Linked DNA regions of Arabidopsis thaliana. The protein of the gene in region 1 interacts with the protein of each later gene in a biochemical or structural test. Each region holds a gene or a part of one and is shown in the gene's direction. Other genes may lie near its edges.

Region 1 (6,596 bases):
CAGTAATGTTACGACCATCAAGTTCTTGACCATTCATTCTATCGATCGCAGTCCTCATGGAATCCTCATCTTTAAAAGTCACAAATCTAAACCCCTTAGACCTCCCGGTCTCACGATCAATGATGATCTGATCCAATCCATAAACCATATAAAGTCGAGATTTTTATGATACAAAGAGAGAAACAGAGCAACACAAAAACAGAGTCACACTTTAACGGACCTTGGAGTCGAAAACTTCACCAAACTCGTTGAAACACCTCTCTATAGACTGTTCATCGGTGGCCCAAGCTAAACCTCCGACGAAGCATCGATACTCGTTGTCTGCATAAGCCACGTCCAAAGATTTGAGGAAGATGATGACGACGACGGTTCTATATAGAAGCGCGAAACCATGGTTACGTTGATTCGGTGCTTAACATGCATTCAGAAATATGATTAGAACTGTGACCAAAACACTCTCTTGGACGCATGATTTGTGCCACGTCACCAGAATCGAAATAATCTTGCTCTGATCCGATGGTTTAGATTTGACGGCTTATTTTGTATGTGTGGGGTCTCACGAAGAGGACATGTGTTAGTTATATGATCTTGAACTGGAAAACACAGATACAAACAACATTTGTACTTTCGGACACGTTGGATTTATTTAATAGCGATGCGGGATATGTAACAAAAATTAGGTAGTGATGTAAATTTGTTATCCGACGAAAGATGAATAGTTCATTGCTTTTTCTTCCCGAACAAATATCCTCAATTATGACTTAACTAGCTCGAGGTTAGAGAAAACTTTTCTATGGAAATAACAGTAATTGGAACGATTAATAAAATCATATACGCAACTGTAGCATATGAAAATTAATAAACAGTTTAAGAAAATTTCACATCACTTGTTCATATATTTTGAGAAAACTTTTGAGAAATTTTTAGCTCAAGAAAAATTCATCTCTATTAATGTCTACTTAATCACTATTTTCTAAATAAACCATAGTGAGACTTTGAACTAACATAATCATTCATTTTTCAAGTAAAATTAAATAAAAAAACTAAATATTTTCATTCGATTGGCATTGTTTAAATTGAACATTCTACAATAGAGAATTTGTTTCTATCAATTTTAAACTAAACATATATCAAATTTTTGGATCATATCAAAAAAGCTAGAAAATTCAATATCATTGTTTTTTAAAAAGAATACTTCAACATCTTTACAAAATCCTATAACCGATAAATATTTCATCCAATATTTTGAAAGAAAGTTGCCAACATTTCACATGTTTTTCTAGTTGATAATTTTCTATTGTACTGTATATGATTATATGTTGTAATAAATTGTTTAAAATGCAAATGATTACAGCGGTTGAGACGGACAAATACTATGCAGATTAAACCGCTTTTAATTTACCAATCATAAATTAGAATCTATAATAATATATACTAAGAAAACTGCCGTAAACCAATCATAAACCATTTTTACATACAAATAAGATTGATCCACAACGATTTATTATCTACTTGAAAATAAAACACACTTATATTATCGATGAATTTATCTATTCTGATTGCCGTTACCATTCGAACCAAAAAATTCAGAGTATTTAGAAAATTTTAGCAAGAAAAGAAAAAGATTCCTTTATTCGGCCAAGAATGGTGAATATAGGACGTGAGATATATTACTCCTTATATATCCGAACATTAAATTTACAACAATAATAAAACAGGAAAGAAGGAAAGAAAAAATCCCAAATAGTAATTGCGGCAACAGCTTAGCTGGCTTATGGCGGGATTACCGGGAAAGTCAAACCAAACATTAAAACGACGTCACTTTACCCCACACTAGGTTTTAATTTAATCTAATTTCAAAATTATTAATTAATCAGATTTGTAATTAATAATAAATTAATTTCGAAGTTTCTTGCAAAGACGAGAGAGAGAGGAGTGTCACAGTCTACAGTTGTTATCTCAACAATCTCGATCTTCTTCTTCTTCTTCTTTCTTTCTCTCTCTAAAGATTTTTTTCACTCAACAAATCACTTTTTGTTTTGTCTGATTTTAAGGATTAGTGAAAAATTTCTACTTTTTCTTCTCATAAATTAGGATTTAGAGAGAGAGAGAGAAAGAGAAAGAGAGGTGCTTTAATGTCTGTGAAGGTAGGAGCTGTAATTGGATCCAGTAACAGAGCAAACCCAGTTCGATATCTGTCTCTTTCTTCCTCTCTAAAGATCGAAAGACGTTATTTTTATTAGGGTTGTTGAATTGGGTATTTTGCTTAAATCCTGAAAAAAATAGTCTCTGTCTCTCTCTGGGTTTGGGTGATGAGTGTTGATGGGTCATTGGATTGAGTTTGATAAGCAATGGTTGATCAAAGAAGAAGCGCATTGGGTTTTGTCTTGTTGTTGTTGTGTTTGGTACTGTTCTTCGACTGTGTTGTTGTTGGTCAAACACAGAGTCGATTCAGTGAGAAACTCATTTTGCTTAATCTCAGGTCTTCTTTAGGGTTAAGAGGAACAGATTGGCCAATTAAAGGTGACCCTTGTGTTGATTGGAGAGGTATACAATGTGAGAATGGTAGTATCATTGGGATCAATATCTCTGGGTTTAGGAGAACAAGAATTGGTAAGCTAAACCCACAATTCTCTGTTGATCCTCTTCGTAATCTAACTCGTTTGTCGTATTTTAACGCGTCCGGGTTAGCGTTACCGGGGACTATACCTGAGTGGTTTGGTGTTAGTTTGTTGGCATTGGAAGTATTGGATCTTAGTTCGTGTTCTGTTAACGGTGTTGTTCCTTTTACTCTTGGTAATCTCACTAGTTTAAGAACTTTGAATCTGTCTCAGAACAGTCTTACTAGTTTAGTTCCTAGCAGTTTAGGACAGTTGTTGAATCTATCACAGCTTGATCTCTCTAGGAACTCATTCACTGGTGTTCTTCCTCAATCTTTTAGCTCTCTGAAGAATCTGTTGACTCTTGATGTTTCTTCCAATTACCTTACTGGACCTATCCCTCCTGGTTTAGGAGCGTTATCAAAGCTTATCCATCTGAACTTTTCAAGCAATAGTTTCTCGTCTCCGATTCCTTCAGAGCTTGGTGATCTTGTCAATCTGGTTGACTTTGATCTCAGCATCAATTCATTGTCTGGTTCAGTTCCTCAGGAGCTAAGAAAGTTAAGTAAGTTGCAGCTAATGGCGATTGGCGATAACCTTTTGAGTGGTACTTTACCAGTAGATTTGTTTAGTGCTGAGAGCCAACTGCAAACTTTAGTTTTGAGGGAAAATGGTTTCTCTGGTAGTCTACCTGATGTGTGCTGGTCGTTGCCAAAATTGCGGATTCTTGACATTGCTAAGAACAACTTCACAGGACTGCTGCCATATTCTAGTTATGATTCAGACCAGATAGCTGAAATGGTTGATATCTCTTCGAACACATTCTATGGAGAGCTCACACCGATTCTTAGACGGTTCAGGATAATGGACCTCTCTGGTAATTATTTCGAAGGTAAGCTTCCTGATTATGTGACCGGGGAAAATGTGTCTGTTACAAGCAATTGCCTTCGAAATGAGAGGAGACAGAAGCCGTCAGCAATATGTGCAGCATTCTATAAGTCTAGAGGATTAGATTTTGATGATTTCGGACGTCCTAATTTGACACAACCGACATCGAAAAATGCTTCTTCAGGGATAAGCCGCAGAACAGTAATTATATTGGCAGCAGTGGGTGGTGGAGTTGCTTTTATTCTTCTTTTTGTTATCTTGCCAATTATTCTGGTTCTATGCATGCGCCATAGACGCAGAGCGGCACAAAGAGGAAATAACGACAGGCCAAAACCTGCCGGGGAAGCTTCACAACAACCACCTAAAGGAGCACAAACCTTTGATTTGTCACGTCTTGGAAATGCATTTTCTTATGAGCAGCTTCTTCAGGCAACAGAGGAATTCAATGATGCTAATCTGATAAAACGTGGTCATTCGGGGAATCTGTTTCGTGGTTTCTTGGAAAATGGTATACCCGTTGTTATAAAAAAGATCGATGTGCGGGAAGGTAAAAGTGAAGGCTATATATCAGAACTGGAGTTGTTTAGTAAGGCTGGACACCAGAGGCTGGTTCCCTTTTTGGGACACTGCTTGGAGAATGAGAGCCAAAAGTTCTTGGTATACAAGTTTATGAGACACGGTGATTTGGCTAGCTCTTTGTTCAGGAAATCCGAAAACGAAGGTGATGGATTGAAGTCTTTGGATTGGATAACAAGGTTGAAAATTGCTCTTGGTGCAGCTGAGGGACTCTCTTATTTGCATCATGAGTGTTCACCGCCTCTAGTTCATAGGTACTACTCTCCTGCTCAGCTTCTCGTAATATAATCTTGATATTTTTTAAAGCATTGACATAGCAAGACTATTGGAAGTTGTTTTGTTGATTCTGTTTTTAGTATCATATAACCTTTCATGTTCATAATTAGTAAGATCTATTCAAGAATTGTTAGTGTATAGTTTCATAGATGGAGAAGCCCAATGACATCACCTGCTCCTAAATTACTTCTTGTTGATCTATGCTCTATTGCCTGATAAGAAGAAAAGCGAGAGAACTCATGTGTGTGTTTGTGTTCAATGTTAAATAGGGATGTACAAGCAAGTAGCATACTTCTTGATGATAAATTTGAGGTACGTCTTGGAAGCCTAAGCGAGGCATATGCTCAAGGTGATGCTTATCAAAGCAGAATTTCTCGTTTACTTCGATTACCGCAGTAAGTGCTTATTACATTAACAAACTCTCTGGTCCTTTTCTGTTTTACTTTGATTCCCTAACATGACTCTGTATGTTGTCTTGGCACCTACTAATGCTTCGCTGTCTCTTCTTTTCCTATTCTTGCAGATCGAGTGAACCATCTTCTTCAGGTATACACTTAGGAGAATAAAAATTTCATCAGGATATACCATCTCCGATTAACCGATAGACATCTGATTGGTTTATTCTTTTCAGGTGTAACAAATGCAATATGTTCGTATGATGTCTACTGCTTTGGCAAAGTGTTACTTGAGCTAGTAACGGGGAAGCTCGGGATTAGCTCGCCAGACAACGCACTTGCAAAAGAGTACATGGAAGAAGCTTTGCCATACATCAGCACAAACGAGAAAGAACTAGTAACCAAGATCTTAGACCCGTCATTAATGGTGGACGAAGACCTTCTAGAAGAAGTATGGGCAATGGCTATCATTGCAAAGTCATGCCTAAACCCAAAACCAACAAGAAGACCATTAATGAGACACATTGTGAACGCACTTGAGAACCCACTGAAAGTAGTAAGAGAAGATACCAACTCGGGTTCAGGCTCTTCCCGGTTAAGAACAAACTCGTCGAGAGGGTCTTGGAACGCTGCTATATTTGGGAGCTGGAGGCAGAGTGCGTCGGATGTAACAGCTGTTCAAGCGGGAGCAACAACAAGCGGTGGTGGTGGTGGTGGTGGTGGTAATGGTTTGAGAAACTCGGGGTCGCAAGGAAGTAGCGGAAGGAACAATAACAACAACGGGAATTCATCGTCGTCGAGAAGACGGCAATCTAGTGAGATTGTACCGGAACCTGCTGCTTATGGAGTAGTAGAGGATAATTTATGATTCGTTTCATCGATTCTTTTGTGTCGATAATAACAGAGGCAAAGAGAGTCCTCAAAGGTAGCATAATGTTAGATGGGAGGAGGATTTGTTTTTTCTTTCTTTTGTTTTGTTTTTGGGTTTAGGATTGGTGGGAGTTAGAAATGTTAGTTCACTCTTTGTTTTTGTTTTTTGGTTCAAACGTGGATTTTGTAAATTGTAAAATTCTTGGAGATTGGGTTTTGTTTTCGGTTTCTTTCTTATTGAAAGACCAGAAAACAAAACAAAACAAAAAAGTTGGGTTACATTTGTTTCAGTTCCACCATTACTTATTATTCTTGTATCTGATTTCGTACGTGTGAATTTTGTTGACTATTTCATTTGCACGTGGCAAGCTTTTGATATGTATTTGGACAAAAAGTGAAAGGAAAGATACTTCTTCCTTTTGTTGGATCTGATTTCGTACGTGTGAATATTGTTGACTAGTTCATTCGCACGTGGGAAGCTTTTGATTCATATTGGGACAAAAAGTAAAAATAAAGGTTCTACCGAGAATTGAACTCGGGTTACTGGATTCAGAGTCCAATGTCCTAACCGCTAGACCATAGAACCATTATGTTTAGAGACGTAAACTTATAATATATATACGTATGAACCAAAATGTTGAAGTTGTAGGATTTTTGGTCTGAGTTACCTGTAATTATATTTAATTATTTCATACACTGAACTTAATTTGAAAATTACAACATTACAAACAAAAATTGAAATTCTAATGAGTTACTTTTGCCAAATCTATCATGGTTAGAAACTTAGAATGATTAAATAGCTAAACTATATCCCAATATATAAGATGTTCTTATGTATTTTATTTTTGTCCATTATATTAAAACTTAAAATAAATTTTCATATTTTCTAATCATTTCTGTTATATGCAATATTTGCCACGATTGGTTGAATTGTTTTAAATAAATAAATAATATTTTGTAAAGAACATAAGTTTCTTAATATATGTGATTT
Region 2 (7,241 bases), on another chromosome or scaffold:
TCACGTTAGGCGTAGTCTATTCAGGGATTCAACGACGTCGTCGAGAGCTTCATAGCCTTTTTTTTTCTCGAATAAATATTTGTGTGTTAATTCGATACTCTCTCTATTTCTTTCTCTTCTAAGAATTCTTCATTTTTAAAACTGATCAATATTCTTTGGCTATTGTCATTAGAATGTACCTAATACCTACTCCATGATAACCCTATACATCTTAAAGCTTATACATGAACTCAAAATGACTAACAATGACACAAAACAAAAAAGAAAAAATATAACAAAAATTAGGCTGACGAGATTATTTTTGTCATCAGACTAATAGTTGTAGAAACACGTCCTTCATTGAAGCTAAGCTAACTTGTTTGTATTTCGTTTTTTTTTTCTTTTCTACTTTGTTCTTAATATCTGTTATAAACAAATTTAGTTGTCAATTTTAATTAATAAATCTCTGAAAACAATTATATATGCCGGAGAGATACATCATATCTTTCGTTTTATATATTTATACTATCAGTGTCACCCCTTCTTGCTGGCACACGCTTGGCTTCAAGCCTCGATTGATCTATTCATCTACCTAAATTCTAACATAATTCAGTTTAAACAAAATTTCAAATTATTTCATTTACCTATATAATTAAAAACTAGTATTTTCTAAATTTAATAATACCAGGGATCCAAATACACCATTAATATGATAAAACGAATTGTAGGAAAATATGGATAGATCATAGATGTGGGCAATAGTGTTATTAAATACTCATCATTCATCAAAACATTAGTTTTGTTTTTTTGTTAAAGAAAAAAATTAGTTTCTACTATTATTCTTAAATGCAAAATAAAAACCCCACATCATTTTATTTTATTTTGTCTCGTCGGTGCCTTAGAAAACTAATATCCAAACACGTATTTTTTCGCGGGTCAAATATCAAGAACAAGTTAATTAATTAAATTGATAAGAAAGCGAACATACACGAAGAAATTTTCAACGAAGACATTACTAAGGAGATGAGAGGCAAACCACGTACAATGACCGATTAACACGTTTTAACCAAACTAATCGCTCACATAAAACTGGGACAATCTAAACTAAATGATTGATTATCGATGATGTAACTTTTTGTTTGACAATAATTTGGAAGTTAACGAAATGCTGAAGATTAAGATGCATCACTTAACTAATATCGTAAATATTTTTTCTTGGTCGTTGCTAAGTTATCTTTTCTCATACATTACAAACTATCAAATTACTTAAATTTATATATCCGTCCCTCTCTAATAGAAATTAGAAAAGGTCATACATATTTGCTACAAGAATCTCGTGAGTTTCTTTAATAAGGTTTTTGTTAATTAATTATCTTATATACTCATAATTGCGACATTAATGAGTGTTTTACTCTTATTTCACCCACATGTCTCTTCTTTATAAGCAAAACAAACTACCTTTTTCTGCACAAACAAACTAACTTTTAATATAGTAAAAAACAATTTAACCTTTTTCACTCTATTTCCTTTTTTCATTCCACTTAGATGTGAAGGGAAAGTAATTAATTCTTCAAAGCAATGATGGAAAGACCCAATCCTAAACCAATCTTCAAAGTAATCTATACTGTATGAAAGCTTCGTTTCTGTTTTTCTTACTATACAAATGAATTAATTCAGTATATGAATATTTCGTACATAAAAAGGAAATTAAAATACAGAAAAGAAAGAAGAATATACAAACCTTTAAAAGCGCGTAGGCCTTATGAAAACTACAGCTAGTTATTATTAAATTTGTATTTATTTGTATTTTTTGTTTTCTTTTAATTTGTGGGAATAAGAGAAATGCATAAAAACCAAAAAAAGACAATGCGTCAGACCATAACCATGATACACCAACCAAGATTAATTGTTTTATGGACAAAATTAAAAAGAAAAATTAGCATTTTAAGTGTAGCATTATGTCATTAACTAATATTAAATGGTAATTATTAGTACTAATTAATAAACAAATGTAGATAAAAAAGTATATGGAAGAAATAAATAAAATAATCCAAAGCAAAGCAAAGCAAAGCGCCGAAGCCTATTTGTATGGCTCTTGGATTCTTACTTATAGCAAATCGTGCTTGCCAGCTTTTTACTCGATAAATTCGTCTTATGGCTGAAACTGTATAAAATCTAGCTTATCAAAATTTATCCTCAAAGTTTATTAAATTAATAATAAAAATCTCTGAAGAAAAGTTTGGGTTTTTGCCATTTGGGTTTTCTTCTGTCTCATCTGGTTTTCGAGAGAGATAGAGAAAGTGAGACAAGGTTAAGGAGGAAGAAGATGACTGAGAATCGGGTGGTTTTGGCTCTGCTTATACTCTGCATTGTTGGGTTTGAGCCAAGTTTCATCCATGGAGCTACGGATTCATCAGATAGTGAGTTTCACTTTTCATTTTTTCCTCTTTGAAGAATCTTTTAAAAAGTCTCGATCTTTTCAGGTGTTTAATCCATCATTTTGTGTAGTCTTATTGATGATTCTGGGTTTATGTTTTCATCTACAACTTTTGATTTCTTCATAATCATCCCAAGCTAAAATAATAACCCTTTCTGTCATAATGTTCTTTTCTTCAAAACAGGTTTTGTTTCGACCAAATGAGTTTTCTTTTTAACCCCAAATCTCAAACCTTTCTCCTTTTTCACACACTTTATGTTTTGTTTTTCTTTTTGTTCCTTTCTTGTGTGTTTGTTCTCTTTTCTGGGTTTTTTCTTTGTTGTTGTTAATTCTCAAGCATTTCATTAACACCTAGTTCATAAAACCCAAATGATCTCAAATCTTGGATCTGCTTCATGTAACCGACAAAAAATCAAGATGATTATGATGGTTTGGAATAGTTCACTTATGGTCTCTGGTTCTTAATATGTGCAGCTTCGGCGTTAAACATCATGTTCAGCTCCATGAATTCTCCAGGACAGCTCTCACAATGGACAGCATCAGGAGGTGATCCTTGTGGCCAAAACTGGAAAGGCATAACTTGCTCTGGCTCTCGAGTTACACAAATGTAATCACTTTTTAATCATAATTCAATATCACTTTGTTTTCTTCTTTTCTTGTATCCATGCTTAATACATGTATCTACTTGCAGAAAGTTACCAAGTCTTGGACTTTCTGGATCACTTGGATTCATGCTTGATAAATTGACTTCTGTTACTGAGTTGTAAGATTTATCTTCCATGATTCTCCAAAGTTTCTACTTTTGTGTATTTAGTGGTGTGGCTTATACTCATGGATTGTTTTTGGTGAAACCTGCAGTGATATGAGCAACAATAACCTTGGAGGCGATTTGCCTTATCAGCTTCCTCCAAACTTGGAGCGATTGTATGTTTGATGATTCTCTCTGTTATATGTTCTACAAATTTCTATGTTTGTTTTGCAAGTTGATCAATTTCTGTATTTGTCTAGGAATCTTGCTAATAACCAGTTCACTGGATCTGCTCAATATTCCATTTCTATGATGGCTCCTCTTAAGTACCTGTAAGTTCTTCAGTTGTTTATTCTCAAACATATCTTGGAGAAAGAATGGTTATTTAATGCTCCATTGTTTTTGTCCAGCAACCTTGCTCACAACCAGTTGAAGCAGCTAGCTATTGACTTCACAAAACTCACCTCTCTCTCTATATTGTAAGATCCTTTTTTCCTGAGTCAAAGGAATAAGTTAATAAACAAATGTTTTGACAAGATTTTGTGTGTTTTCAGGGACCTCTCTTCCAATGCTTTTATAGGGTCTCTCCCAAACACTTGTAGCTCTCTTACGAGTGCAAAATCAATGTAAGACTCCTATAAGTAGGTCTCTATGTATTGATAAATAAAAACTCCCTGTAAGTGAACCAGTTAAAGTTAATACTTAGTTACTAACATTGTGCTTTTTCAACTTCACAGTTATCTTCAGAACAATCAGTTCTCAGGCACCATTGATATTCTAGCCACCCTTCCTCTCGAAAATCTGTGGGTAACTTAAGCTTATCCATTTTTAGGAATTTATCTCCTGTAGACACCACTTGAATGTTGTTCTTGCTGAATGCTTCCTCCTCAGGAATATTGCAAACAATCGGTTCACAGGCTGGATCCCTGATTCTTTGAAAGGCATTAACTTGCAGTAAGTGTTGCATTCCTTTCTTCGATTCTTCGATCTTTTCTCTAATCTCACTAATTTTTTCCTGAATGATCTTGAAAACAGAAAAGATGGCAATTTATTAAATTCCGGGCCTGCACCTCCACCACCTCCTGGTACACCACCGATCAGTAAATCATCACCTACTCCGAAATCCGGGAACCGTGGAAACCGTTCCAATGGTGATTCCAGCAATAGCAAAGACTCCAGCAAATCAGGGCTTGGAGCTGGTGGAGTAGCAGGAATAGTCATTTCTTTGATAGTTGTAACAGCAGTCATAGCTTTCTTCTTGATCAAGAGAAAAAGATCAAAGCGGTCATCATCCACGGACATTGAAAAGACTGATAATAACATTAACCAACCCATTATACTAGCGTCCAATGACTTTCATCAAGGTAATAACTCATTAAACTTTTTTTATTGTCAAAAAGTATTATACATCAAATAATCTTATGGTTTTCTAACTATGTAATCATCTGGTTGCAGAGAATAAGTCTGTACAGAATCCACCATTGGTTGAGACAAAGAAACTGGATACGTCATTGTCGATGAATCTACGTCCTCCACCATCTGAGCGACATAAGTCGTTTGATGACGATGATTCAACAATGAGAAAACCTATTGTTGCAAAGAAAGCTGCTGTTGTTGTTCCTTCAAATGTGAACACATATACGGTTTCAGATCTTCAAGTAGCTACCAACAGTTTCAGCGTAGATAATCTTCTCGGTGAAGGAACATTTGGAAGAGTATACAGAGCTCAGTTTGAAGATGGAAAGGTATTTAATTTTATATAATCCTCCTCTACTTGTAAGAGCACAATGTCATAATATTCTGCTACTGAGATATTTTCTTTGATCTACTAGGTACTTGCTGTGAAGAAAATCGACTCATCTGCGCTTCCCACGGATACTGCTGATGATTTTACCGAAATTGTATCGAAAATAGCGCATTTGGATCACGAAAATGTCACAAAGCTTGATGGTTACTGTTCTGAACACGGGCAACACTTGGTGGTCTATGAGTTCCATAGAAACGGCTCATTGCATGACTTTTTACATCTTGCAGAAGAGGAAAGCAAACCGTTGATATGGAATCCCCGTGTCAAGATCGCTCTTGGCACTGCACGTGCATTGGAGTAAGTCTTTAAACATCTCAATCACATTATTGCTCAATATAATAGCATGCAGCAGAGTCTCATGGAAAGTATTGTTGTTGTTGCAGGTACTTGCATGAAGTTTGCTCACCATCTATAGTCCACAAGAACATTAAATCAGCAAATATTTTACTTGACTCAGAGCTGAATCCACACCTCTCAGACTCAGGTCTCGCTAGCTTCCTTCCCACTGCAAACGAGGTATATATAGTATAGACTAAACTTCTCAGAATTCTAGTATCTCTCTCTCTCTTTTGTTCCTCCATGGAACTTGTTCCTAAGTATTCATGACATTGTGCAGCTACTAAACCAAAACGATGAAGGATACAGCGCACCAGAAACTTCAATGTCAGGCCAATACTCTTTGAAGAGCGATGTTTACAGTTTTGGAGTAGTGATGCTCGAGCTTTTAACCGGAAGAAAACCATTCGACAGGTACTTTTACAATCCATATCCCTCGCCTTCCTAAAAAAACTTAAGAGTGATGCAAATGTGTTCAGAATTGAAGTAAGTCCTGGTGATTGTTGTGTGTGACAGCACAAGGTCAAGATCGGAACAATCATTGGTAAGATGGGCAACACCTCAGCTTCACGACATTGATGCTTTGGGCAAAATGGTTGATCCAGCTCTCAAAGGGCTATACCCGGTTAAATCCCTCTCCCGATTTGCAGATGTTATCGCCCTTTGCGTCCAGGTAATCATCTATATATTATAATGTGATGATCTGAACAAATGAAATCTGAATGTATATTGTTCTTTTAATCTGTTACAGCCGGAGCCAGAGTTTAGACCACCCATGTCTGAAGTGGTGCAAGCATTGGTTGTATTGGTGCAGAGAGCTAACATGAGCAAGAGAACTGTTGGAGTCGGCTCCGGTAGCTCCGGCGTCAATGATTACATGTAAATTCTTTACCTGATGAGAACCAACAAAAAAAAACATAAAAATTTGCCCTTTTTCTCTTGTCTGCTCGGAATCTGGATGGGACGACAACAAGTGACAACCGAGGACAGACAAAACAAAACAAAATCCTTTTTTTCTTTCGGTTTCATAAAACTGATGATGAGAGAATAACAACAACAACCCTTCACGCATTGTACACTCCCATGTTTCTTTGTAATTTGTTCCCAATTTGTAGCTTTTTTTTTAGATTCCGACAACATGAACAAAACCATTCCCTTTTGTGAGTTCCGATCCAAAAACGGTATTATTCCATTTGTAATTTTTTCCTTGTTTGAATAAATTTTATGTTAATAAAGTGGAATATGATCGATTACAATTTGTGTAAATCTGCTGCTGAATTGCTAAAGCTTAAACAGCAACGGTCGTTCTAAATTTCAACAATCTTTGGACTTTCACCGGCAATCAAGGCGACGACGGAACCGTAAGAGCGTAAATCCACGTAATATTAGAAACCCGACCGGAAACACGCTAGTGACACGTGGATTTGTCACGTGGACACTTTTTATGACACGTGGTAGATAAATCGACTATACTATGCACACCTCACGTTTGAATCAAAACCATATAATATACACGATTTCTTGAATGAGGGTAGAAATAATTAGAATGATGATCGGGAAGTTGTGGAGATCTGTGGGAACCGTCGGAAAGTTTGATGGTCGTTACGACGGCGTGAGGACGATGGTTGGAAAAGCCTCGAACCGAGCTGGTGTTCATGGTTCGAAACTTCCCAACGCTAAAGCACTTGACAATGTAACCAATTAGTTGAGGTTTCATAATCTCATTTTTGTTTGTTTGTCATAGTAATCATGAAATTAAATTATTCTAATGCGTAGGAGGAAGAGATCAGGGAGAGGATTAGTAAAGGCAGCGAAGACAAAGAACAGAAAAGAAAAGAGGTTGAGAAAAAAGTTGAAGGCTCTCAAAGAGGATCTAACGGCGAAGATGCACCATCCTCCGACCGGTGATGACGGGTCTTGGTTTTTTTTTATCC
Region 3 (8,536 bases), on another chromosome or scaffold:
TGATGAGAATCTGGAGGAGGAAAAAAAATATCTTCTTGAATGGGTACGTTCTTGCTTATTATGATTGATTGTAAATGGATGGAGTTTAGAATGGCAAAAGCCAATAATACTTGTGTATTTTCTGTATACAGGCATGGAATTTACACGAGAAAAGCCGTGACATTGAACTAATCGATGATAAGCTGACTGATTTCAACATGGAAGAAGCAAAGCGCATGATTGGCATTGCTCTGTTGTGCACACAGACATCTCATGCCTTGAGGCCACCAATGTCACGAGTGGTGGCCATGCTTTCAGGAGATGTTGAGATCGGTGATGTCACTTCTAAGCCAGGCTACGTAAGCGACTGGAGATTTGATGACACCACAGGCTCATCTCTCAGCGGATTTCAAATCAAAGACACAACAGGCTATTCCATGAGCCTTGTGGCGCCTGGCTCCGAGATATCACCCAGAGACAGCGACTTTAAGCCAATGCTTGGATCCAAGATCAATGAGGGAAGATGACAATGTATCATCTACGATTTATGGCTATAGAGATGTTTGTATATATGTAAGATGACAATTTTGTACAAAAAAAAAAAGGGATTGACAATTTTCATCTTTGATTGGGAAAAACAGATTTCACTTTGATTCGATAATAATAATTTAGTAGTTAGAAGTTGAAATTGATCTTTAACCGTTAGTGATGGGCCTCGCATTATTCATGTACTTAGCCAAATCAATGCAGTCTCTGAAGGTGACTGACTCTGTAGTATATTCATGTGTTGTAATGTTTTATTTGGGAGTCAAAAATGAAATAATCTCTGTACTACTTTCATGAGTGGGGGTTCCAGGAGCTCTAACTGGATTTTCAAAGCTGCAATTCAAATATGTATGCTTATGTCATGAAGATGTAGACGTCACATGAGCAAAGATCGTGTAAATAAGTGGGGGAGAAAACCAGAGCTAAGCATATTGGATACTTTACAGTCCTAGTGTAAATGAAGTTTTGTATTGAAAGTCTATTAGTGTTGAATCAGGACGAAACACTTGAAGCTCCTCTCCAAATTATGATCAGAAACAGAAACATATCAGTTCAGGTCTTCAAATGATCTATATATGTACCTCTAACTCAAAAGATCATAGCATTGCTCCAGCATCAGTTTCTCTTGTGCGGCCCTCCATCGATCTGCTAATGGAAGATATTAGGTTATTACACACTAGTTTAATACACGATTTATCATGTCACGTTTGTCCTCAAAACCTACCGTGGGAGAAACGTAATTAACTATTCACTGTTGAAATGATAGCATCAGTGACTGCTTCTGCATTCTTAAGCTTATTCCAGTTTCCAAGCGGTTCCACTGAGGATCCCAAGCCGGATCAGAGCTCAAGAAATCTCCAAATGATGTTGAGATACAACAAAAAGGGAATCAAGAAAAGACCTCAACGTTTAGCCATGCATGCATGGACGACTCTCATTACGGTACGTTTAACTAATCGAACATTGCTTGTATATCGAAACTCTTAACTATGCGTTTACTTAAAATAAAAATAAAATACTTCTTTGATTCAATAAAAATATTTTAGTAGCTCTAAGTTGGACTTGGAGTGGATCTCTAACCGGTCGTGATGGGGCTCGCACTATTCATGTCGTTTTAAGTCTTTAACCAAATCAACCGGTGCAGTCTCTAAAGGTGATTGACTCTTCCGTAGCAACTTCTTCCTTCCTTGATATGTAATCATGTGTTATGTCTTGGAATTCAAAAGGAAATAATGATTAAGATCACTTTCATGAGTGGGTTCCACGAGCACTAAATGGATATTGGCATATCTAAAGGAGACTTACCAAATAATCCTTAAGTCTCAAGTCCCCTTTTTATCAAAAAAGAAGAAAAAAATCTCAAGTGGTTGAAAATGGACGACGACTTGAAACTCGAAGTTTCGTTTATAGTCAATCTTACATTGTTGATCAGTTACACTAATTCTCTTGGCTGTGTGTCAACAAGTGGGAAGATTTCATAGTAAGTCTTCTCTCATAGTACTAGTAATTAAGTCTTCTCTCTGCTATAGAGTGTGGAGACTAAAAAAAGAAGAAGACAACATTGTTTTTATATTATTATGTGAAGTAGTGTAGTGGTGAAGAAGGAAGAATTTTCCAACTCTACGAACCATAGCAATCATAGCCTGATAGCCATTAACGTCTCTATACAGAGAAAACAGAGAGCCCATTCGCTGATCGGCAAATCTCTTTATAAACACACTCATAGTGGTCTTGTTTTTCTGAACCAAAGTTATATCTGTTGAAATGCTCAGGCTACGTAGATCTCTGTTTCTGCTCCTAACCGTTTGGTTCTTGTGTTGTTCCGGTTTGGTTCACGTGATGGTTCGAGCCCAAAACCGAACCAGACCCACTACTCATCCCGACGATGGTCTGTCTTTTCAACACTTGACAAAAGTTTAGTCACCAATTATCGACTGGATTTGTAGTTTGTAATAGCTAGCTTCTTCTTTGTAATAAACCCCACTAACGAAAAAACAAATAAAATGCATCTTGTCAATAGAATGAGTTTCTTAGTTCAGTTAATATATAGTTTCAATTAATTAATACTAGTTGTTTAGTTAAGCGTAATAGATTAAGGGGTGCTAATAATAATTTGACCGTTGTGAATTATGTTGGATAAAAACAGCGCGAGCTTTGAACTCCATCTTCGCGGCTTGGAAGATTCGGGCGCCGAGGGAATGGAACATCAGCGGCGAACTTTGCTCCGGCGTCGCCATCGACGCCAGTGTACTCGACTCAAACCATGCCTACAATCCTCTCATCAAATGCGACTGTAGTTTCCAAAACTCCACAATCTGCCGCATAAATAACATGTTACACCTCTTTCCCACTTTTTATGCACTCCATATGTTCGACGAATTCTCCCACTGAGTCTCAATTTTGTTTGTTGTTGTCTCAGAAAGGTTTATGCGATAGATGTTGTAGGACCTATACCTCCAGAGCTCTGGACCTTAACATACCTCACCAATCTGTATAGTTCCATACAACCCACTTACCCACTTTTTATATTCACAAGTATATATATGTTGAGACTCTTAACTGATCCAATGGTCATCAAAAACACACATCTTTCAGGAACCTAGGTCAAAATTATCTCACAGGCTCACTGTCTCCTGCTATTGGGAATTTGACTCGGATGCAGTGGATGTAAAAGCCTCTGAAACCTTGTTTCTTTTTCTTTTTTGATAATTTTATACAAGTTCAATTAACAATTGTTTGTCTCCCATGCTCAAATGTAGGACTTTTGGAATCAACGCGTTGTCTGGCCCTATTCCTAAGGAAATCGGTTTGCTTACGGATTTAAGATTACTGTAAGCTTTGGCTGCTTCCTCATTATCTATATTTGAACATGTCTTCACTCTGCTTATGGAGAGGATTTGATGGTTCTTTATAGCTATATATATTTTCTGCAGTGGTATTAGTTCAAATAACTTTTCCGGTTCCTTACCAGCTGAGATTGGGAGTTGTACAAAACTACAGCAAATGTGAGTCTATCTGTCAAATCCATAAGTGCTTATGTTATTGACTAGTTATAATTTAGATATGAAACCTTAACGTCTGAAACTCTTTAGTGTTCGTCGACCACAAAAGTCTTGTGCATCTGTTATTCTTAAAAATTTCTTACATCTATTACAGGTACATCGATAGTTCTGGACTCAGCGGAGGAATACCTTTATCATTTGCTAATTTTGTGGAGTTGGAAGTCGCGTAAGATATAATTTTTATAATCTACTTACTACTTTACATTTTAGTTTTTTGCGTTGGGGTGATTGTTTCCTTAATGTTGTACCAGTTGGATTATGGATGTGGAACTTACAGGTCGGATACCAGACTTTATAGGATTCTGGACCAAACTTACTACCTTGTAAGGAGATTTCATTTATACGGAGTAATATAGTGGAATAATTCTTCATTGTATCTAAATTGGGAATATACGACTGGTACAATTTACTGCAGGAGGATCCTCGGAACTGGTTTGAGCGGCCCAATACCGTCGTCATTTTCCAACTTAATTGCTTTGACAGAACTGTATGTGTTAAATTGTGTCAGAATCATTATTGTTTACTGTTTCTCTATCTTTCCTTTTGTCCACATATTCATATTCTATATGTAGGAGGCTTGGTGATATATCCAATGGAAGCTCTTCTCTTGATTTCATCAAAGACATGAAATCTCTAAGTGTATTGTAAGGCAGCTTTGATTCAACTCCTCCTCCAATTTATGATCAGATTAATGTACTGTTGAGCTGTTTCTATCTCCTCCTGTATTTAGCAATTATGATATTTGTTGCAGAGTATTGAGGAACAACAATCTCACTGGGACAATACCGTCTACTATTGGAGGATACACAAGTTTGCAACAAGTGTAAGTACATATGTCAGTGTTTTTCTTCACATGCTCTGAAAGCTGTTTCAGGGTCAAAAAGAGTGAGATGATTTGTGAAAGTCACAGAAAGAACACGAAATGATCTTAAACTGCTGATAATATAATTTCGTATACTTCCTCATTCATTAGAAAACAGAAATTGTTTCATGTTTTACCGTTTAATTCATGTTTGTCTTCCAGTGATTTGAGCTTCAACAAATTACATGGACCAATTCCGGCTTCACTTTTCAACTTAAGTCGACTTACTCACTTGTAAGATACTAAGATGATATGTTTTCTGCTTCTTTTGGGTCTTACTATATAACTACACGGATCATTTTATAAAAAAAAATCGTTTGTCTTTTCATATTAGGTTTCTGGGAAACAACACGTTGAATGGATCCTTGCCCACTCTAAAGGGGCAGTCTCTGAGCAATTTGTGAGTAACGAAATCCTTTATAATTTTTCCATCTTTAAAAGCCACAACGTTTCTTGGACGGTTTGTTGACAGATCCTCCTAATATGGCTCGTACACTATTTACGGGGCACTTATTCAAGTTGAATAAGGTTCCACTCCTGGTGACACAGATAACTTGCCAAGATATTAAGAAACTGTTTTGGACATATAATATAGTCGGTAGATCCTAACTGTATTTTTCTTTTATGCTGACAGAGATGTGTCGTACAATGATTTGTCTGGAAGTCTTCCTTCATGGGTCAGCTTACCAGATTTGAAGCTGTAAGTAAAGAAAAACATTATATCTCAACTTATCTTCAGAGCCTTTTTAAAATTTCAGAATTTTTCCCACATGCATATTCATTAGGCCTCTTCATATGCAGCATGAGACTTCCTCTTTGTCGTAAAAGTTTATTATAATCACTTGTTAGGGAATAATAAACAGAAGCGTTTGTTATATGTGCAGCAATCTAGTTGCTAACAACTTCACACTGGAAGGTCTTGACAACAGGTGAGTTTTTGTATATATTTCTATTCTTTTCCTACAAAAGGATGCAAGCATAAACGATTTATCATTTCTTTCTTAAATCTTTTTTTGTTGTTAAAAGGGTTTTATCAGGACTACATTGCCTGCAGAAGAACTTCCCCTGCAATCGAGGCGAAGGAATCTGTAAGTGTAACAAAAAGATACCCTCACAAATTATGTTCTCCATGTTGAATGTGCAAACATATGGACAGGGCTCCAATGTCTTATTGGAAAAAAATTGTTTTAAGACTTTCGCTATTGACTGGTGTCTAGATTATAACTTTTCGATCAACTGCGGAGGCCCAGAGATAAGGTCTGTTAGTGGAGCACTATTTGAAAAGGAGGACGCGGATCTTGGACCAGCTTCGTTTGTTGTGAGTGCTGCAAAGAGATGGGCAGCCAGTAGTGTAGGAAATTTTGCTGGCAGTAGCAACAATATATACATAGCTACTTCACTAGCACAATTTATCAACACTATGGACTCAGAGCTTTTTCAGTCAGCACGACTTTCTGCATCTTCCCTAAGGTATTATGGGTTGGGGCTAGAAAATGGAGGGTACACCGTAACACTTCAGTTTGCTGAAGTACAAATTGAAGGTTCTAACTCTTGGAAAGGTATTGGAAGACGACGTTTTAACATTTATGTCCAGGTCTGCACCACTTGATCGAGCTTTCCGGTTCACAAATGTTACTTTTTGGTTCTGATGAATTCTAAGATCTAGCTCCATTTTTCCAGGGAAGACTTGTTGAAAAGGATTTTGATATACGCAGAACAGCTGGTGGCTCTTCGGTTCGAGCAGTTCAGAGAGAATATAAAACAAATGTATCAGAAAATCATCTCGAAGTCCATCTTTTCTGGGCTGGAAAAGGAACATGTTGTATTCCTATCCAAGGGGCTTATGGGCCATTAATAGCGGCCGTCAGTGCGACACCAGGTAACACAAACGGTTGATATATTTTTTTTCCTCTGATTTTCACTATCTCCCGATACTAGTTAGTGCCGTGTCACATATTCTTGTTCAGATTTCACACCAACTGTGGCTAATAGGCCACCATCAAAGGGAAAGAGCAGGACTGGTACTATTGTGGGTGTCATTGTTGGTGTTGGACTTTTGAGCATCTTTGCGGGTGTGGTTATCCTCGTCATTCGAAAAAGAAGAAAACCGTACACAGATGATGAAGGTACAGATGTAATAAGAACATAAACAAGCCCTTGAGCTGAATAACTTTAGCTCTCTGATCAAAATTAAAGTTGACTATCATCTGTTAAATTGGTTGATTTTAAGTAGTGAATTTTTTATGGCAGAGATACTTAGTATGGACGTAAAGCCTTACACCTTTACTTACTCGGAACTTAAGAATGCAACACAAGATTTTGATCTCTCAAACAAGCTTGGAGAGGGAGGGTTTGGGGCTGTTTATAAGGTAAGTCCCTTACTGAATCGAACAAAATAGCTGTATATTTTTCTGAGATACTAGGAAAGAAGGGTACATGTAATACCTTTTAATACGTTTTGTTTTGAATAACACGTTCAACAGGGAAACCTCAATGATGGAAGAGAGGTGGCGGTGAAGCAGTTGTCAATTGGATCACGGCAAGGGAAGGGACAATTTGTTGCAGAAATTATTGCAATTTCTTCAGTTCTACATCGCAACCTAGTAAAACTTTACGGGTGCTGCTTTGAAGGAGATCATCGTTTGCTCGTATATGAGTATCTCCCTAATGGAAGTCTCGATCAGGCATTATTTGGTAATGAACAGAAACATGACTTACCTATCTCTGCTTCTGCCAAGCTAAAGTAATCATTATGCCATTGGGTTGGATGTTACAGGGGATAAGAGTTTGCATCTTGATTGGTCAACCCGTTATGAGATATGTCTGGGAGTAGCCAGAGGTCTAGTTTATCTCCACGAGGAAGCAAGTGTTCGCATAATACACAGAGATGTGAAGGCCAGCAACATTTTACTGGACTCTGAACTGGTCCCAAAAGTTTCTGATTTTGGGCTTGCAAAACTATATGATGACAAGAAAACCCATATTAGTACCAGAGTGGCAGGGACGATGTAAGCAAAATCCATAGACCCTGACATTTTGTTTGCAACACAATTATGGCTTTATAGCTCATGTTAGTTGTATCAATGCAGTGGGTATCTTGCGCCAGAGTATGCCATGCGTGGACATCTAACAGAGAAAACAGATGTGTATGCCTTTGGTGTTGTGGCTCTTGAGCTAGTGAGTGGAAGGAAAAACTCTGATGAGAACCTGGAAGAGGGAAAAAAATATCTTCTTGAATGGGTACGTCTATATTTGTCATATAGGCGAAGTTGAAGATGGTGTGATAAATGACAAAAGCCGATAATCCTTTTGTATTTCTTGTATACAGGCATGGAATCTACACGAGAAAAACCGTGACGTTGAACTAATAGATGATGAGCTAAGTGAATACAACATGGAAGAAGTGAAACGCATGATTGGCATTGCTCTGCTTTGCACTCAGTCATCTTATGCGTTGAGACCACCAATGTCACGAGTAGTAGCCATGTTGTCAGGAGATGCTGAGGTCAATGATGCCACCTCTAAGCCAGGCTACCTAACCGACTGTACATTTGATGACACCACAAGCTCCTCATTCAGCAACTTTCAAACGAAAGACACTAGCTTCTCGACGAGCTTTATAGCGCCTGGCCCGGAGATGCCACTTAGAGACGGCGAATCGAAGCCAATGGTTGGATTCAAGATCAAGGAGGGAAGATGAAGATTGTCCCCTCTATAATTTGATATGCTTGTATATGGAAGTTGACAATTTTCTTCTATATAAGGATGTGGAGAAACAGATTTCACTTTCATTCAATAATAATATTTTAGTTGACAATTTTTCAATTTTTGTAACAAACTTTTGATATCTTGCAAGGATGACCAAAAAAAAAAAAAAAAAAAAAAAAAAAGAAAGTTAACCTGTTGTGATGGGCCGGGCATTTTATAAGCTAGTACAACTAACACACCGTTAAATGGGCCTGGCCCATTGAATTTTTCAAGAGCAGCGCCATCAACAGATGCGCTTATTAAACCCCTGAAACCCTAGTTTCGTTCGTTGTATATTTCTTCTCGCTCAGTAGGTCTTTAGGGTTTTAGTTTCTTCTCC
Region 4 (8,315 bases), on another chromosome or scaffold:
TGTGGCAGTTTTATTAAAGTCTAATCGTTAACAACTGTAACCTTCTAAGTGGTATTTATCAAATATTTCTCAAATGCAGTGCTAAACAGTCTGCACATAAGGCCCTACACCTTTAGTTACTCAGAACTCAGAACTGCAACTCAAGATTTTGATCCTTCCAACAAGCTTGGGGAGGGAGGATTTGGACCTGTTTTTAAGGTAAGACCGTACACAGAATGTGTACCAATATTGGGAGTCTAGTGTACTAGAAAGTTATGTAAAATTTTACATTATCTATATTCTAAAAATATTCATTGGTACAGGGAAAACTGAACGACGGAAGAGAGATAGCCGTGAAGCAATTGTCAGTTGCATCCAGGCAAGGAAAGGGTCAATTTGTTGCGGAGATTGCCACTATATCAGCTGTTCAGCATCGCAACCTTGTAAAATTGTATGGATGCTGCATTGAGGGAAATCAGCGCATGCTTGTATATGAATACCTCTCAAACAAGAGTCTAGATCAAGCTCTATTCGGTAAGTGCATGAGATCTTACATGTGTTATCCTTGTAAAAAAAACAAATGCTGTTACCTTACATGTTGCGTGACTGTGGCAGAGGAAAAGAGTTTGCAGCTTGGTTGGTCACAGCGTTTCGAGATATGCTTGGGAGTAGCAAAAGGTTTAGCATATATGCATGAGGAGTCAAATCCCCGTATAGTGCATAGGGATGTGAAGGCAAGCAATATTCTTCTGGACTCGGATCTGGTCCCGAAACTCTCAGATTTTGGGTTGGCCAAACTATATGATGATAAGAAGACCCACATAAGTACCCGAGTTGCAGGGACGATGTAAATATCCTGAAAACCTCACATTGGATGTGGTTTGTCAAATGGGCTAAAACTTACCGTTGTTAAATGTTATATTGCAGCGGATATCTGTCACCAGAGTACGTGATGCTTGGACATCTTACGGAGAAGACGGATGTGTTTGCCTTTGGTATAGTGGCCTTGGAAATTGTCAGCGGAAGGCCTAACTCCTCTCCAGAATTAGATGATGACAAACAATACCTTCTCGAATGGGTATATATCTAACTTTTCCTACAAACACATCCTTTTTAATTCCAAATTTGGTGAATAATTTGGTCTTTGCAGGCATGGAGCCTACACCAAGAGCAGCGTGATATGGAAGTAGTAGATCCGGATCTGACAGAATTTGACAAGGAAGAAGTGAAACGTGTAATAGGAGTAGCGTTCTTGTGCACACAAACAGATCATGCAATACGACCAACTATGTCCCGAGTGGTAGGTATGTTGACCGGTGATGTGGAGATAACGGAAGCCAATGCCAAGCCAGGGTACGTCTCTGAGAGAACATTTGAGAATGCAATGAGCTTCATGAGTGGTTCAACGAGCTCGAGCTGGATATTGCCTGAAACTCCAAAAGATTCTTCCAAGTCCCAAGTTGAAGAACATGGACGACGACATTGAAACTTGAAAACTTGTGGTTTTTCTATTTTTTGTTCTTACATAAAAAAAAAGAAGTCAATATAGAAATCGTTGTTGGTAAATAACACATATACATATTCGTTTGACCAAAATTGGATTTGACTGTTTCTCCTGAAAGTTGTGTTTGGTCCCATTTTTAACATTAAAATCCCTTAAAACCATCATTGGCATTTAGTATCAAAGTCCAAAGGTGGTGATGCTTCTTGCACTCGTAGGCAGCAGCCGCCATTGTTGAAATCTCCCGTTGACAACGCAGCGGAATCTCGGTTTAAGCGCGTCCACTTCACGGCTTGTGGATGCATCGCGTGAGACGCACTGCTCCGCGTAGTTGGTTAGACCATTAATTAAATTCAAATTAAGCCAAATGAAAAGTATCTCTTCAAAGTCCAACATAAACACCATTTTTGAACCAAATTAAAACCTTCTCCGTCTAGTTTTGGCGGCTATCATCTTCTTCTCCGTTTAATTTTAGTTTCCGACGATGCTCAGGCTATGGCGGTATCTGTGTCTACTCCTCACTGTCTGGTTCTTGTGTAATTTCGGTCCGGTTTACGTGGTTCGAGCTCAAAATCGAACAGGAGCCACCACACATCCCGACGAAGGTCTGTCTTCTTCTTCTTTGAACAACTTGACAAGTTCAAATTCAATCGATCGGATTGAAGACTGTGTAGCTAGGTCTTAAGCTACTCTTCTGATCCTAATTGATAAAACCGATGTTTACATTTATAATATTTTTTTATTTTATCCTAAGAAGTTTACCGGTTTAGTTTCAATTGACATTTTTTGTTTAGTTAATCGTATTTTGTTAAGAGCTAATAATAATTGACTGTTGTAAATAAAAACAGCGCTAGCTTTGAACTCAATTTTCGCGGCTTGGAGGATTCGGGCGCCGAGGGAATGGAACATCAGCGGCGAACTTTGCTCCGGCGCCGCTATCGACGCCAGTGTTCTCGACTCAAACCCTGCCTACAATCCTCTCATCAAATGCGACTGCAGTTTCGAAAACTCCACAATCTGCCGCATTACCAACATGTAGGGCCTCTTTCCCCCTTTTTTCTGCACCCCATTTGTTCGACGTATTCTCCCACTGGGAATTGACTTTTGTGGGGGAAACGAATGGTTTTCAATTTCATGTCTCAAATTCTTCTCCTCATTTTTGGATGTTGTTGATGTTTTCACAGCAAGGTTTATGCGATGGAAGTTGTAGGATCTATACCTCAACAACTCTGGACCTTGGAATACCTGACAAATCTGTATGGTTTTACTATCACTTGATGATTATACAATTTCAGCTACAAAAGGAGCACACATTTTCACAATTTAAAATCACTTCTTTCAGGAACTTGGGTCAAAATGTTCTCACTGGCTCACTTCCTCCTGCACTTGGAAATTTGACTCGAATGCGATGGATGTATGTCTCTGACACCTTCTTTTTTTCTTATTGTTTGTGGTGAATGTCTACACCTTTCATTGATAATGCACCCTTATAGGAACATTTCTTGTTTCTCACTCTCAATTGTTTATCACGTAGGACTTTTGGGATCAATGCGTTGTCTGGCCCTATTCCTAAAGAAATCGGTTTGCTTACAGATTTAAGATTACTGTAAGCTTAGGCTGCTTCTTCATTGTTTAAATATGATAGTGTCTTCACATTGCTTCTGGAGGATTCTGACGGTTCCTTATACACTATATATATTTCTGCAGTAGTATTAGTTCAAATAACTTTTCGGGTTCTATACCAGATGAGATTGGGAGATGTACAAAACTACAACAGATGTGAGTTTTCTGTCAATCTATAAGTGTTTATGTCTTTATATCCTTGGTTATAATTTAGATATGATTAAATATTAACCTTTGAAATCATTTAGCGATCACCGACCTCAAAATTCTAGCGCAGTTGATGACTGATGGGAAATTTCTTCCATCTATTGCAGATACATAGATAGTTCGGGACTCAGCGGGGGATTACCTGTATCATTTGCTAATCTTGTGGAGCTGGAACAAGCGTAAGACATATTGAAGTCGAATATAAGCTTTATTGTTTAACTTTAGTTGCATCTTATTTTTGTAATCTATTTATTACTTTACAATTTAGTCTTTTTTGCCGTGATGTGATTGTTTCCTTAATGTGGTACCAGTTGGATTGCGGATATGGAACTTACAGGTCAGATACCAGACTTTATAGGAGATTGGACCAAACTTACTACCTTGTAAGAAGTTTTCATTTTTACGGTTATATAATAGGCTGGTTCCATTGATCTTTTTTTTTAACCAGTCTTTTTTACATTTAAATTTGGGATTTAACGGCTGGTACGTGTTTTACTGCAGGAGAATTCTTGGAACTGGTTTGAGTGGTCCGATACCGGCGTCGTTTTCAAACTTAACTTCTTTGACAGAGCTGTATGTGTTGCATTGTTGTCATAATCATTATCGTTTTACTGTTGCTCTTCCTTTCCTTTTCTCCACATATTCATATACTATATGTAGGAGGCTTGGTGATATATCCAATGGAAATTCTTCTCTTGAATTCATCAAAGACATGAAATCTCTAAGTATATTGTAAGGCAGTTTCAACTTGAACTTCTAGGAATTGATCTGGTTCTCTCCTCCCTGTATTTAACATTTGTAATATATGTGGCAGAGTATTGAGGAACAATAATCTCACTGGGACAATACCGTCTAATATTGGAGAATATTCAAGTTTGCGACAACTGTACGTATATATGTCAATTTGTTTCTTCAAATGCTCTAGCAGCTTTTTCAGGGGTTTTTTGTTTGTAAAAAGAGTGAGATGATTTGTGAAAGTCACGAGAAATTACGAATTGATCCTATATTTCTGATTATATAATTTCTTATTTTTCCTCATTTATTGCTTAACAGGAATGGTTTGACGTTTTACCATGTAATTCATGTCTGTTTTCCAGTGATTTGAGCTTCAACAAACTACATGGAACAATTCCGGCTTCACTTTTCAACTTAAGACAGCTTACTCACTTGTAAGATGATATGTTTTCTACTTTTGGATCTTTATGTACAGCGACCCGGATTATTGTGAAAAAATAACTGTTGTCTTCATATTAGGTTTCTGGGGAACAACACGTTGAATGGCTCATTGCCCACTCAAAAGGGGCAGTCTCTGAGCAATGTGTAAGTAACAAAATCCTTTATAATTTTTCCATCTTTAAAAGCCATGTCCCCTAGTTTCTTGGACGGTTGTTAACTGATATATACTCAAGTTTCGTACACTTTTTACTCTGCATTTATTCAAGTCGAATAAGAATTCCACTCTTGGTGACACAAATGACATGCCAAGATAATTAGGAAACTATTTTGGTAACATATTCTGGCGATCCTAATTAGTGTTCTTCTATGCTTACAGAGATGTGTCATACAATGATTTGTCTGGAAGTCTTCCGTCATGGGTCAGTTTACCAAACTTGAATCTGTAAGTAAACAAAACACTATATCACGACTTATATTAACAGTGTTTTACATTCAGAAATTTCCCCACATGTATATTCATTAGACTTCTTCATATCCAGCATGAAGCTTCCTTTTTGTATGAAATTATTTATTATAATCATGTTAGAGAGAATAATATTAAACTAAACTGTATGTTCTTTGTGCAGCAACTTAGTTGCTAACAACTTCACATTGGAAGGTCTTGACAACAGGTGACTTTTTAATTAATGTTCTTGTTAGGGCTTGAAATTGCTTTCCCTTTGTTTCTCTTTTCTCTTTTTTATTTGTTGCTTGCAAATAGTTTAATCATATGTTTAATTTCTTTCTGTAAAAAGGGTTTTATCAGGACTGAACTGCCTGCAGAAGAACTTCCCATGCAATCGAGGGAAAGGAATATGTAAGTGTAACAGCAATATCCGCTTCTTGAGCAAATGTTGGAAAAAAATCCGCTAAATTTTTTCTCTTTACACTGGTGTCTAGATTCTGACTTCTCAATCAACTGCGGAGGCCCAGAGATAAGATCTGTAACTGAAGCAGTATTTGAGAGGGAGGACGAGGATCTTGGACCAGCTTCATTTGTCGTGAGTGCTGGTCAGAGATGGGCAGCCAGTAGTGTAGGACTTTTTGCCGGAAGTAGCAACAATATATACATATCTACTTCACAATCACAATTTGTCAACACTTTGGACTCAGAGCTATTTCAGTCAGCAAGACTTTCTGCATCTTCCCTAAGGTATTATGGGTTGGGTCTAGAAAATGGAGGCTATACCGTCACACTTCAGTTTGCTGAAATACAAATTCTAGGTTCTACTTCCAACACTTGGAGAGGTTTAGGAAGACGACGTTTTGACATTTATGTCCAGGTCTGCACTACTTGACCGAGCTTTCTGCTTTACAAATTAAATTTTGGTGTAATTATCTGCTTCCGACTTTTGATTCTGATGAATTCTAAGACTAGCTCACTTTTTCCAGGGAAGACTTGTTGAAAAGGACTTCGATGTACGCAGAACAGCTGGTGACTCCACTGTTCGAGCAGTTCAGAGAGAATATAAAGCAAATGTATCACAAAATCATCTCGAAATTCATCTTTTCTGGGCTGGAAAAGGAACATGCTGTATTCCTATCCAAGGGGCTTATGGGCCATTAATATCGGCCGTCGGTGCAACACCAGGTAAATAAATGGTGAATTCTTCTTGTTTTACACCATCTCCTGATGCTAGTTAGTGCTTAAGTGTTACATATTTCTGTTCAGATTTCACACCAACTGTGGGTAATAGGCCACCATCAAAGGGAAAGAGCATGACTGGTACTATTGTGGGTGTCATTGTTGGCGTTGGACTTTTGAGCATCATTTCTGGTGTGGTTATCTTTATCATCCGAAAAAGAAGAAAGCGGTACACAGATGATGAAGGTATAGATGTAAAAAGCTCTTGAACTGTAGAATTTTGGCCCTCTGATTAAAAATTAGTTATATATCATCTCTCATATTGGTCGATTTTAAGAACCGAATTGTTTCTGGCAGAGATACTTAGTATGGACGTTAAGCCTTACACCTTCACTTACTCGGAACTTAAAAGTGCAACTCAAGATTTTGATCCCTCAAACAAGCTTGGAGAGGGAGGATTTGGCCCTGTTTATAAGGTAAGTCCCTACTGAAATTTGTACATATTTGAGATATTAGGAAAGAAGAGTATATGTGTACTATCTTTTGTTTTGATATTACCTTTTGTTTTGACAATATCATTTATTGAATAATGCATTCAACAGGGAAAACTCAATGATGGAAGAGAGGTAGCAGTGAAGCTATTGTCGGTGGGATCCCGACAAGGGAAGGGACAATTTGTTGCAGAAATTGTAGCAATTTCTGCAGTCCAACATCGCAACTTAGTAAAACTTTATGGGTGCTGCTATGAAGGAGAGCATCGTTTGCTTGTATATGAATACCTTCCTAACGGAAGTCTTGATCAGGCTCTATTTGGTACGCACAGAAGCATGTTTATCGATCCATGCTTCTGCCAGGCTAAAATCACTCATTATGTACATGTCATTGGTTTGAATGTTGCAGGGGAAAAGACTTTGCATCTTGATTGGTCAACCCGTTATGAGATATGCCTGGGAGTAGCCAGAGGTCTAGTCTATCTCCATGAGGAGGCAAGGCTTCGCATAGTACACAGGGATGTGAAGGCCAGCAACATTTTGCTTGACTCTAAATTAGTACCAAAAGTTTCTGATTTTGGGCTTGCAAAACTGTACGATGACAAGAAAACCCACATAAGTACCCGGGTTGCAGGGACAATGTAAGTAACTCCCAACCCTGACCTCTGGTTTGCAACACAACTATGGATTTATAACACATGTTGGTGATTTTACTGTATCAATGCAGTGGGTATCTTGCGCCAGAGTATGCCATGCGTGGACATCTAACAGAGAAAACGGATGTATATGCCTTTGGTGTTGTGGCTCTTGAGCTAGTGAGTGGAAGGCCAAACTCTGATGAGAACTTGGAGGATGAAAAAAGATATCTTCTTGAATGGGTACGTCCATACTTCAACACTTTTTGATAATGAACACAACTTCAATGTATGTGACCATGAGAGGCTAATCTGGGTTATGCCCTTTAGCAAAAGCTGATATTGATTGTGTAACTTGTTCACAGGCATGGAATCTACACGAGAAAGGCCGTGAAGTTGAACTTATTGATCATCAGCTGACTGAATTCAACATGGAAGAAGGGAAACGCATGATTGGCATAGCCCTGCTGTGTACACAAACATCTCATGCCTTGAGACCACCAATGTCACGAGTGGTGGCCATGCTTTCAGGAGATGTTGAGGTCAGTGATGTCACTTCAAAGCCAGGCTACCTAACCGACTGGAGATTTGATGACACCACAGCCTCCTCAATCAGCGGCTTTCCATTAAGAAACACACAGGCTTCTGAATCCTTCACGAGCTTTGTGGCGCCTAGATCCGAGATATCACCGAGAAACAACGACGCTAGGCCAATGCTTGGAGCCCAGATGAATGAGGGAAGATGACAAAGACCCTATATGGTGGCTATAGATATAGTCATATAGAGATTATGTTTGTGTATATGAGGTTCACTTTATTCTTCTTGGATTGGAAAAACTCTAGATTTCACTTTGGTTAAATAATAATAATATTTTAGCTCCTCTGACTTCCACAAGCGGTCGTGATGGGCCACGTACTATTCACGTCCTCAACCAAATCAATGCCGTCTCTTTTACAGTGTAACTGTGTTGGTTTCCAAATGAAGGAAGTTATTAAGAACACTTTTCATGAGTGGTTCAACGAGCTCGAACCGGATATGACCTGAGATTCTAAAGAATATTTATGAGTCCCAAGTCGGA

What was found.
Region 2: the proteins of AT2G16250 (region 1) and SRF7 form a complex in vitro, tested with the Arabidopsis thaliana proteins (one large-scale study listed by BioGRID).
Region 3: the proteins of AT2G16250 (region 1) and AT1G56120 form a complex in vitro, tested with the Arabidopsis thaliana proteins (one large-scale study listed by BioGRID).
Region 4: the proteins of AT2G16250 (region 1) and AT1G56140 form a complex in vitro, tested with the Arabidopsis thaliana proteins (one large-scale study listed by BioGRID).

Annotation. Positions count from the first base shown.
Region 1 is NC_003071.7:7,038,689-7,045,284, reverse strand, and holds AT2G16250 (Leucine-rich repeat protein kinase family protein), read left to right. Parts: upstream 1-1,930; 5' UTR 1,931-2,351; coding exon 2,352-4,318; intron 4,319-4,609; coding exon 4,610-4,735; coding exon of another isoform or gene 4,736-4,739; exon of another isoform or gene 4,740-4,863; coding exon 4,864-4,886; exon of another isoform or gene 4,887-4,971; coding exon 4,972-5,603; downstream 5,604-6,596.
Region 2 is NC_003074.8:4,782,064-4,789,304, reverse strand, and holds SRF7 (STRUBBELIG-receptor family 7), read left to right. Parts: upstream 1-2,061; 5' UTR 2,062-2,305; coding exon 2,306-2,399; intron 2,400-2,496; exon of another isoform or gene 2,497-2,890; coding exon 2,891-3,023; intron 3,024-3,107; coding exon 3,108-3,179; intron 3,180-3,274; coding exon 3,275-3,340; intron 3,341-3,424; coding exon 3,425-3,496; intron 3,497-3,574; coding exon 3,575-3,643; intron 3,644-3,718; coding exon 3,719-3,790; intron 3,791-3,901; coding exon 3,902-3,967; intron 3,968-4,055; coding exon 4,056-4,118; intron 4,119-4,199; coding exon 4,200-4,528; intron 4,529-4,619; coding exon 4,620-4,909; intron 4,910-4,996; coding exon 4,997-5,268; intron 5,269-5,354; coding exon 5,355-5,487; intron 5,488-5,587; coding exon 5,588-5,721; intron 5,722-5,823; coding exon 5,824-5,980; intron 5,981-6,058; coding exon 6,059-6,190; 3' UTR 6,191-6,195; coding exon of another isoform or gene 6,196-6,459; 3' UTR 6,460-6,548; downstream 6,549-7,241. Other genes in the region: AT3G14340 (uncharacterized protein), read right to left, coding at 6,196-6,459; AT3G14330 (Tetratricopeptide repeat (TPR)-like superfamily protein), read left to right, coding at 6,854-6,965.
Region 3 is NC_003070.9:20,986,901-20,995,436, reverse strand, and holds AT1G56120 (Leucine-rich repeat transmembrane protein kinase), read left to right. Parts: upstream 1-2,364; coding exon 2,365-2,413; exon of another isoform or gene 2,414-2,671; coding exon 2,672-2,858; intron 2,859-2,944; coding exon 2,945-3,016; intron 3,017-3,120; coding exon 3,121-3,192; intron 3,193-3,284; coding exon 3,285-3,356; intron 3,357-3,458; coding exon 3,459-3,530; intron 3,531-3,681; coding exon 3,682-3,753; intron 3,754-3,838; coding exon 3,839-3,910; intron 3,911-4,002; coding exon 4,003-4,074; intron 4,075-4,159; coding exon 4,160-4,231; intron 4,232-4,338; coding exon 4,339-4,410; intron 4,411-4,611; coding exon 4,612-4,683; intron 4,684-4,783; coding exon 4,784-4,849; intron 4,850-5,083; coding exon 5,084-5,149; intron 5,150-5,333; coding exon 5,334-5,378; intron 5,379-5,475; coding exon 5,476-6,043; intron 6,044-6,129; coding exon 6,130-6,328; intron 6,329-6,416; coding exon 6,417-6,575; intron 6,576-6,699; coding exon 6,700-6,818; intron 6,819-6,932; coding exon 6,933-7,143; and 8 more. Other genes in the region: AT1G56130 (Leucine-rich repeat transmembrane protein kinase), read left to right, coding at 1-43, 132-506.
Region 4 is NC_003070.9:21,001,375-21,009,689, reverse strand, and holds the start of AT1G56140 (Leucine-rich repeat transmembrane protein kinase), read left to right. Parts: upstream 1-1,834; 5' UTR 1,835-1,964; coding exon 1,965-2,085; intron 2,086-2,328; coding exon 2,329-2,515; intron 2,516-2,664; coding exon 2,665-2,736; intron 2,737-2,822; coding exon 2,823-2,894; intron 2,895-3,014; coding exon 3,015-3,086; intron 3,087-3,187; coding exon 3,188-3,259; intron 3,260-3,417; coding exon 3,418-3,489; intron 3,490-3,621; coding exon 3,622-3,693; intron 3,694-3,811; coding exon 3,812-3,883; intron 3,884-3,970; coding exon 3,971-4,042; intron 4,043-4,124; coding exon 4,125-4,196; intron 4,197-4,407; coding exon 4,408-4,479; intron 4,480-4,564; coding exon 4,565-4,630; intron 4,631-4,862; coding exon 4,863-4,928; intron 4,929-5,112; coding exon 5,113-5,157; intron 5,158-5,280; coding exon 5,281-5,342; intron 5,343-5,425; coding exon 5,426-5,808; intron 5,809-5,917; coding exon 5,918-6,116; intron 6,117-6,197; coding exon 6,198-6,356; intron 6,357-6,467; and 10 more. Other genes in the region: AT1G56145 (Leucine-rich repeat transmembrane protein kinase), read left to right, coding at 80-198, 303-826, 907-1,057, 1,130-1,465.